Linked DNA regions of Rattus norvegicus. The protein of the gene in region 1 purifies or fractionates together with the protein of each later gene. This does not show direct contact. Links are inferred from orthologs where the notes say so. Each region holds a gene or a part of one and is shown in the gene's direction. Other genes may lie near its edges. The genes, in order: Casp3 and Cryab.

Region 1 (4,462 bases):
CTTCTTTGTCCCCATTTAAGTTACTATGATCAGAAGTCATACTTTAAATGTCCCTAAAACCTATCAGAAGGGATAAGAAACCCTATAACAATATACTGTTCCAGGTGTAGGTTCTTTTCCTCCTCACTGATTCCCCACCCAAAGCAGGACAACTTTACCAGACCAATGACATTCACACCATTTTTACAGCCTCTTGAAAGTATATCCGTTAACGATTTAGTTATCATTTAATTGACATGTAGTTTATCTTGACAGACTAAATCTTCCTGCAGATGTAGGCCTGAAAACGTTTATCTATTATACTTCTAGTTCAGTTTTGTCACCAAATGGAAGGAAGCTAAGGCCCACTCCCTGTTCCTAGACTACTTCAGAAGCCCTCTTACTCCAGCTGCCCAACCTGGAAAGCATCATATTGCTTTTCATGATTTTTTTCTCTCTTGAGGCCCAGAACCACTTCAGCTCCCTATGGGTCCTGGCTGTGAGGAGAAATTACAGGGCTCAGACGAAAAATACCACCTCCAGCTGTTTTGCTTTAACAAGATGAAGTCAACATAACGGAGAGAACGGCTGAGGATACTTCATCTAAGGTATCATTTGGTTAAGAACGTTTGGCACAGGGATGGGTCAGTGCCCAACAAGGAGATCAGGATTTCTCAATTAGTTTTTCCCTGTGAACTACAGCCTCCACGAAGCATCGCTAGGGTTGAGTGCGACCTATGCGAAAGTTTCTCCCAACAGAAACTGGCTGATCCTCACTCACTTTGAGAGGGATGATGATAGATTAATTTGTTTCTGGAATCTGCATTTAACTACTATGGCTCTTCAGAAGGGCAAACCACTTATCCTTTTAAAGCCTCTGTTGGAACTGGAAAAACTAAGAAATGTATTATGGAAATGTAAGAGCTCGAATTCCACACGCAGCGAATGGTAGACATTTGGGTACCTACGTACACTACAGTCCCTCACATCCGACCAAGCAATTGCGTTGGGGACAAGCAAGCTACTGCTCTATGGAGTGAATTTGTCCTCAGAGTATCCTGGGCCCCTGAAGTATACTGACTGCTTTGCTCATGTTTTCGTATATTATGCAAAAAACACTTCTCAGAGTCAGAGTCTGAAATAGGACCCAAAGCAGTCGGAGATTTCAGTAAGGTAGTCAGGGCTTCTGACTTGAGGGAGCAAGAGTTAGGCGGAAGAAAGGCCTCGGTTCATTTGAGAGGAAGTAGAGATTGCGAGTGCGGGGGTTTAGCCCTATTTTCTCCGGCCGGAGCTCTGACTGACAGAGGCGTCTCCCTGAACGCCCACCTTTGTGACCCTGGAATCAGGCCTGGCCTAGAGACCTCTCTAAATTTACCTCAAGCAGTGCAAGTCGGCCGGAGGCGGCAGATGGTGGAGGCAGAGATGGCGGGAACCAGAACTTGAAACCCCCGCGAGGGGGCGGGGCCGGAGGGGGCGGGGCTCTAGGGTGAGCCATCGGTGGGCGGGGCCTGCGCTGCCGCGGCTCGGCTGCAGTCCTGGCGCGCTGGAAATTAGGGTTGGGGGAGGGGATAAAGAGAAGGAGGAGGAGGTCGAGGGGGCGGGGCGTGGGCGGGGCGTGGGCGGGACCGGCGGTAGGCTGCTGATGCAGTGTTGGTGTTGGTGGGATCAAAGCTTAGTGTCCTGAGGTGCGGAGCTTGGAACGGTACGGTGAGTGTCTGCTGCTTTCGCGCTTTCCAGGACCTGCGTTGCCACCGGGAGCCGGCGCTCTGTCGCCCAGTCTGCAGCTCCTAGGAAGAGGCGGGGGAAACGGGCGATCTGGGCGGAGGATCCTTTGTGTTGCCTCCAGGCTTGCTCAGGCAAGCACTGAAGGCAGAGAAGCTGGAAACAGCGCCGGTAGCGTGGTCTGGAGCTGGGAGCCCAGACCCGGGAGGCCAAGCTGGTGTCCCTAAACCTGGGTGAACCGGGGCAGGACTCAGACCCTCGAATATGGCGCAGGGGCCGCGCCGAGGCGCAAAAGGCGGAGTCCGGGGATCCGGAGATTGCCCTGGGCACCGAGCTTCAGGGGTGGGAGGGGGTGAGTCCATAGTTGGGGTGAGCCTGGGAGCCGTGTGGCTGGAGGTGGCGGGATCCTGGAGTTGCAGGCTGAAGTGTGGACTCCGGAGCAGAGGATGGGTAGGGGAAGTTCTGCTCTGGGGCCTGAAGAATAGGCTGATGCTGACCTTAAGGCGGCTCTAAGGGACCCAGCCTCCCTGTTACAAGAGTATTTGGTCTCTACCTTTGGTCTTTTCCAGTGGCATCTTTGGTTCTTGTGGAGAGCTAATTTTAAGCATTGCTCCTCCAACTCTCTTTCTTACCCTGAAGCCTTTCGTTAAATACTCCACCTTATTCCTTTGTTGGTCAGTCACTGTAGGAGCTTGCATTGACATCTCTTGGACCATGCACAGAGAGCTTGTCCTTACTTCACACTTATTAGTTGGTCTCCTCTGAAGTCCGACTTGAGCAGCAGGGTCTTTACCTCATTCTTAGTTGAGTCACCCAGGAAACCCTTCTCAGGGACCTTCTCAGGACCCAACTTCCGCTGTTAGTCACTGAGCCTTGTAGACCTATGAATCTGACAGATTTATACCTGGCTGACCCTTCTGAGTCTTGTGGACTTTCTAGGTGTCTGCCAGATTGTTACCCACCTCAGGGAACTGAAGCAACCTCCTTGCAGGTTTCTGCCTCCCCCCCACCCCCCAAGGTTCTTCTCCAGTGCACTCCTTAAAACATAAACAAAAACAGTTTTCTAGCTGTTCGTGTTTACCCTTAGGGCTTAAGGGTAAAAGCCTATCCTCTAACCGGGTTGGCAAAGCCAAACCCTGGGTCTTGACTGTCTTCCCCGTTTTATCCTTTAATCACGTGTCCTTTTGGTTTTTCTTTGCTCCCTCAGTGCACCGTCTCACCTTTTCTCCCCACTGATACATTTGTCTATGAATAGGAGCTGCTTCGGAGGTTTCAGTTCTTAGTTAACAATTCAAGGTTGAATCTTCCCATTCCTTCCTTTGGGGCAGGCATTTCCTGAAAGCAGCCTTGTCATTTCCTCTACTTTTGCTTGTTTGTTTGCCTACAGAACTGTGAGCAAACACTGCTAGGCACTAATTTTAGCATGGTGCCCTTCCTTACTGGGTTTTTTGCACAAGTGATTGCTCAACCATTTGTTTTATTACAGCAAAATGGTTGATTAAAATGTGGATTAGGAGATTTTGGTGGGTGGGAAATGTGGGGCCGTTGTTACAGTTTGAGTATACAAAATAGCCGAGGAGATGCTAAACTGGGGGTGTGGCCAGCCTTTGGGAAGCCACTTTGGATGTGTTAATGGTAGAGCCCTGTCACAACCCAGTGTTGAAACTTTAAAGGCTTTGATTTGCTGTCCAGCAGAATAAGGCTTTTGCAAAGTGAGAATGTGTTTTAATTAGTGGAAGTTTATTGAAGCCTAGCAGTTCAACTGGTACAAAGTAACAAGTGAAATTCTGCACCTAATTAAATCAGATTGCTTTGTGGTCCTGCAGAAAGTTTCTGTCTCCTGCCATTTTAAGTAAGAACCCTATATCTTTATCTGATCTGAGTGGTTCCAGTGCCACTCTATGGTTTCAAACTTAGCAACATATTCACTTCACCCGCTTTCTAAAGTTACAATACAGTCTTTTCTTCAAACACATTGCATTAGTTCTGGTCTTCCTGTCAGATAATACTTAAAGTTCTACTCCAGTGATAGAGGTTGAAAGATGATGTGGAAATTTTTACATTCTTAAGTACTGTTTTATATAGTCTTTTAACAGATTAAAAAATATTTTTGGAGAGGAAAGAGTATTCTGTCATCTGACTGTCTGAGGCCAGGACCTGGGTGCTTACCTGCTCCTTCATAAAGAAAGCATAATCTATATAGCTCACAGGGTTTTGTAAAGATCAGATGAAATAGTATGTGTGACAATGTTTTGTTAAGGGTGACATTCTCCATAATAGTTCTTGTTTTGACCTCTTTGTTTTGGTCTTCAATATTGCCTGGAGAGCTTCATTCTGCTAAAGTACAACGAAATTATCTAATAAGGACTAAATGTGGGCTAATTAACATCTGCCTTGCTGCTGTTTTTAGATACCAGCAAACAAGAATATAAGCTCTGTATAGGGATAGGGTCTGCCTCTTCCACTACTTAATACGCTGAGGGTTCAACGGTTGATATTCAGTAGATTACATGGCTATCTGTCATTTTTATAAAAGACATTAAGGATCTTCCACTCTACTTTTATTTCAACAACAACAACAAATTGTTTTCAAACAGGTCAGTAATTCTTACACATCCCTAAGAGCATATAGGTTTATCCTCTAAAGGTTTCGCTTGGGAGAGGACAAGACAGACCCTTTGCAGATAGTAAGCACCACATTCTTTCCAGCTTGTGCCTCAAGGTCAGAGAGCTTCCTTAGACGAGATCCATCGCGTTCAGG
Region 2 (4,509 bases), on another chromosome or scaffold:
CATAGGTGCGACAGAACTCTCGGGACACGAAGCCGTGGCGGTCCAGACGTTGGGGGTGTCGGGCAGACACCTCTAGCAGGTTGTCCACAGTCCTCACGGTCACCTCATCTGGGGTAAAGTGGCTCACATCCAGAAATGCCTGGAACTTGCCTTCACTGAGCCTGAGCTCTGAGGCCCCTGCCCTGCCGCCCTCCCCAGCTCTGGCGGCCCGGGGCCGAACATAGTAGCCATGGTAGAGGGTGGGGGTCAGGATCTCTTCTGGCAGGAGGCCTGGGAGCAGAGAAAGAAAGAGAAGGCAAGAGGCAGGATGAGGAAGAATGCAGCGGGCACAGACAGGGCTGAAAGGCGATATCTGGAGATATGGGCTAGAAGAGCAGGTGGGAAACTGTAGAGGGGCTGGGAAAGGAGAGGAGATGGTTACGGAAAAAGCGAGCTGGAACTGGAGGACAGAAGCAAAACCAGAAAATACTCTGAAGCGTGCAAGGCCCGGACACCGAAAGCCCTGCCGATCTAAAGTTTGGTCCTGAAGTCTGTTAGCAAGACCAGAGAGAGTCTTGCTTGAGGGGGGAGTCTGGGGTGGGAGATGGCTCACCTCAGGAGTTCACTTAAGCCCCAGGTAGAGTGGAGGCCAGTGAAGCTGGGCAGTGAGCCCAGAATTTCCGGAGGTGGGGGTAGGAAGCATCTGAGCCATACCTTCTCCGAAGCGCTGCTCGCCCAGGCGGCTAGGGTTGGCAAATTCGTACTCGGCAGTGGCTGGGTGGGCGTGTGGCACTGTGCGGCCCGACATGACTGCTGTTGCGACTAGTAGCCCTGATCCCAAGTGTAGCCCCAACAAGATCAAGGCGACCCCTCCAGCTTCAGAGGGAGAGCCAGGACTCAGTCAGAGTGGGGGCGGGGTCTACACCACCCAAAATAGTGCAGAGCGTCTGGGGGATGGGGGAGGGGTGGGAGCCTAAGTCTAGAGTGCAGCTATGAGGGTGTGATCAGCGCAGCCTGGACCCCCTAAGTCCCCTCCTCTGTATACCCTTCAGCTGTCGCATAGGCCTGGAAGAACAGCTGAGGGTCCTGGTCCTAGAGTAAGCTGGGAAGAGAAACTGGTGCGCTGCAGGAGGGCAAGGAGAGGCCTGGTTGGGCCCTTCACCAATTGTACATTCCACATCACCCTTTGTCCTTATCAGTCTCAGGCACTGAGCACATTACTTAGAAAAAAAAAAAAAAAAAGACAATGTTCTATGAGCCACAGAACGTCAAAAATACAAGAAACATTTTCTGTCTTTTTAATGTCAGGGTCTTCTGAACCTAGATCAACTCGGGGTTCCAGTCAGACACCTAGTTCTGACATATTGGTGGTCACAGCTCTCCTCTGGGACTCCACAAAGAGTTAATGTCCCTGGGGCTCAGCCCAGGAAGATTCCAGCCTCTGCCCAGGCCCAAGATAGTTGCTGGCTCAATTCCCCTGGCATGCAAGACTGGAGAGGAGGAGGGGCCCACCAGCAGCTGCTTGGGATTCCAGACCCTGTCCTGGCTCCAGAGAACAAGGATGGGGTGGGTGGGTGCCACTAGGTGTGGACAGAGAGCTAGTGAAACAAGACCGTGACAAGTCACCGGCCAGCTCAGCCCTGCCCCGTGTTTCTCTTTTCTTAGCTCAGTGAGTACTGGGTATGTGTCACCCTGCCAAATCCCTGATCACAAGTCCCCATGAACTGTCGGGGAGCTGGGATAATAAAACCCCTGACATCACCGTTCCAGAAGCTTCACAAGACTGCATATATAAGGGGCAGGCTGTAGCAGCGGCTGAAGGAGTTGACCGGCTAACCGACTCTACACTCATCTAGCCATCATGGACATAGCCATCCACCACCCCTGGATCCGGCGTCCCTTCTTTCCTTTCCACTCCCCAAGCCGCCTCTTTGACCAGTTCTTCGGAGAGCACCTGTTGGAGTCTGACCTCTTCTCTACAGCCACTTCCCTGAGCCCCTTCTACCTTCGGCCACCCTCCTTCCTGCGGGCACCTAGCTGGATTGACACTGGGCTCTCAGAGGTAAGTCTCCCTTGTGCCAGGGCAGGAATACGTATCCTTCCTGGTCTCTCCATTCCTTTGCCCTTTCACCCTGCCTAAGTCATTTTAGGCATGTGCGTGTGCAAAGGTACAGAGAAATGAGGTTACTGTTTTCTTCTTCCTGTGGGCACCTGTTTCTGTTTGATGCTCCTGTTTCCTGGTCCATTTTTCTGTGCATGGTGCCTCTTTCTCCTCTTTCAACTCCTTTACCCACCTCTTTAATAGTCCCAGTCCTGGCAGATTTTATCATCTCAAACTGTAGAGATCAGATAGAAACCCACTCATTCTGGGCTTTTCCTGTCTTCTTTCCTCCCCACTTCCTTTTGATGGAGCTGGATACATCAATCAATATTCTCTCTCTCTCTCTCTCTCTCTCTCTCTCTCTCTCTCTCTCTCTCTTCCTTGGCCTATGACTTTCCGGGTTCCTCGGGGCTGAGACAGTGCATTGACTTCAGTCCATGCCTTAAGAGGACCGCTCTTGGGAAGCCCTGACTTCTTATCTCAGCAGCGTGGGAGATAAGATTAACAGAGGTTGTCACAGATAACACTGTGGTTTAAAAATATTCGCGTGTGAGGAAACAGGAGCTGAGTGAGCAAGGGCTTTGGAAGGACAGAACATTCCAGATCGAGTGGGTTGGAAACTTGGCAGGCAACTGAACAAGAAAAAGGGGGCTTTTGTTTTATAGACAAATGACAAAGCCAGCACTGGGTAGAGAGGCAGCAGATGCCATCCCCAGACCCATTCTTGTGACTAGTCTCCTACTGACCCGTCTTCTTCCCTGTGCCTCTCGGTAAAGTTTGGGACTGATGGATGACTAAGAGGTGTCTTTTGGGTATCACCATGGTGGCTCACATATACCAGTGTCACTAGTCATAAGAGGATTTTTCCCCCAGCAGCCAGGTAGAGGATGGATTACCAGGGCAGGAAGTAAATCTCCTGGACGATGAGCCTTCTCCAGCTTAATGGACATTCTACCATCTTTTCTCCTCCGCCCCCTTGTTATTCTAGATGCGTATGGAGAAGGACAGGTTCTCTGTGAACCTGGACGTGAAGCACTTCTCTCCAGAGGAACTCAAAGTCAAGGTTCTGGGAGACGTGATTGAGGTGCACGGCAAGCACGAAGAGCGCCAGGTGTGTGGACCTTTCTGCCTTCTCTTGTGAATTCATTTAGTGCCCTGCTGGATGCCAGGGACTGCCGCCACCAGCCTCTGAGGCTGGCAGAATTCCAGTCCCCAAACATAAGACTAGATCAGGAGTTATAGATCAATGGCTGGGAAACAAGTTAGGGCTAGATCTGCTGTTAGTGTTGTGGCTGTGCTGAGAGAACTTTCCCCTGGATGTTCCTTTTGATTGCCTTGTCTTGTCCAGTGACGTCAGAATAGCAGAAGAATTCTCAACATTCCCAACCCTCAGCACATCCTAGGCCAATTGAATCTGAAGTTTTAGGGACATAGCTCAGGCATCAACCTTTAAACAAACAAACAAACAAACTCACTCCTTGGGTACTTTCTGTACCCCAAACTGGCAGCCATTGCTCTAGGCACAGTGTGCTGTACATAATGGCTCTGCGAAATGACAGTCACCACGGAGTCGAAGGCAATAAAATCTGTGGCTTTTGAATGTTCAGGATTCCATGCCTCTTCTGCTCAGTTTAATGCTATGCTACTTGGTTTGTCTGCTTTTCAGAGCTTCAGGCTTATGGCTGTGAGGAAGTTAATTGAGATTTGTTTGTGTGGATGCTTGGGGTACTTGGGATTCAATAGGTAACAGGATTAGCATCCACAATTCCTCTTGCATTTTTAGCATTTTTTTTTCTTGACTTCCTAAAAAGGTGTTATGATTGCTTCTTAAAAATTAATGACTTGGGGGGCTGGGGATTTAGCTCAGTGGTAGAGCGCTTACCTAGGAAGCGCAAGGTCCTGGGTTCGGTCCCCAGCTCCGAAAAAAAAGAACCAAAAAAAAAAAAATTAATGACTTGGGGTTGGGGATTTAGCTCAGCGGTAGAGCGTTTGCCTAGCAAGCGCAAGGCCCTGGGTTCAGTCCCCAGCTCCGAAAAAAAGAAAAGAAAAAAAAATTAATGACTTAGGGCCTGGAGAGATGGCTCAGCAGTTAAAAGCACTGACCGCTCTTCCAGAGGTCCTGCATACAATTCCCAGCAACCACATGGTGGCTCACAACCATCTGTAATGGGATCCAATGCCCTCTTCTGGCATGCAGGTGTACATGCAGATAGAGTGCTCATACATAAAATTAAAAAAATCTTAACAAAAAATAACTCAGCTGTGCCGTGGTGGTGCATGCCTTTAATCCCAACATTTGGGAGGCAGAGGTAGACAGATCTAAGTTAGAGGCCAGCTTAGACTACAGAATGAGTTCCAGGAGAGCAGGAGCTCAACAGAGAAACCCTACTTATCTCAAACAAAACAAAAAACAAAAATCAATACCTCGG

What was found.
Region 2: the proteins of Casp3 (region 1) and Cryab purify together in Homo sapiens (affinity purification with western blotting; 3 studies listed by BioGRID). This does not show direct contact. The link is inferred for Rattus norvegicus from reciprocal best matches to the Homo sapiens genes CASP3 and CRYAB.

What each region holds. Positions count from the first base shown.
Region 1 is NC_086034.1:52,410,911-52,415,372, reverse strand, and holds the start of Casp3 (caspase-3), read left to right. Parts: upstream 1-1,640; 5' UTR 1,641-1,681; exon of another isoform or gene 1,682-1,686; intron 1,687-4,462. UniProt on the Homo sapiens protein: Thiol protease that acts as a major effector caspase involved in the execution phase of apoptosis. Following cleavage and activation by initiator caspases (CASP8, CASP9 and/or CASP10), mediates execution of apoptosis by catalyzing cleavage of many proteins.
Region 2 is NC_086026.1:59,990,020-59,994,528, forward strand, and holds the start of Cryab (alpha-crystallin B chain), read left to right. Parts: upstream 1-1,511; 5' UTR 1,512-1,840; coding exon 1,841-2,041; intron 2,042-3,068; coding exon 3,069-3,191; intron 3,192-4,509. Other genes in the region: Hspb2 (heat shock protein beta-2), read right to left, coding at 1-270, 694-787. UniProt on the Homo sapiens protein: May contribute to the transparency and refractive index of the lens. Has chaperone-like activity, preventing aggregation of various proteins under a wide range of stress conditions.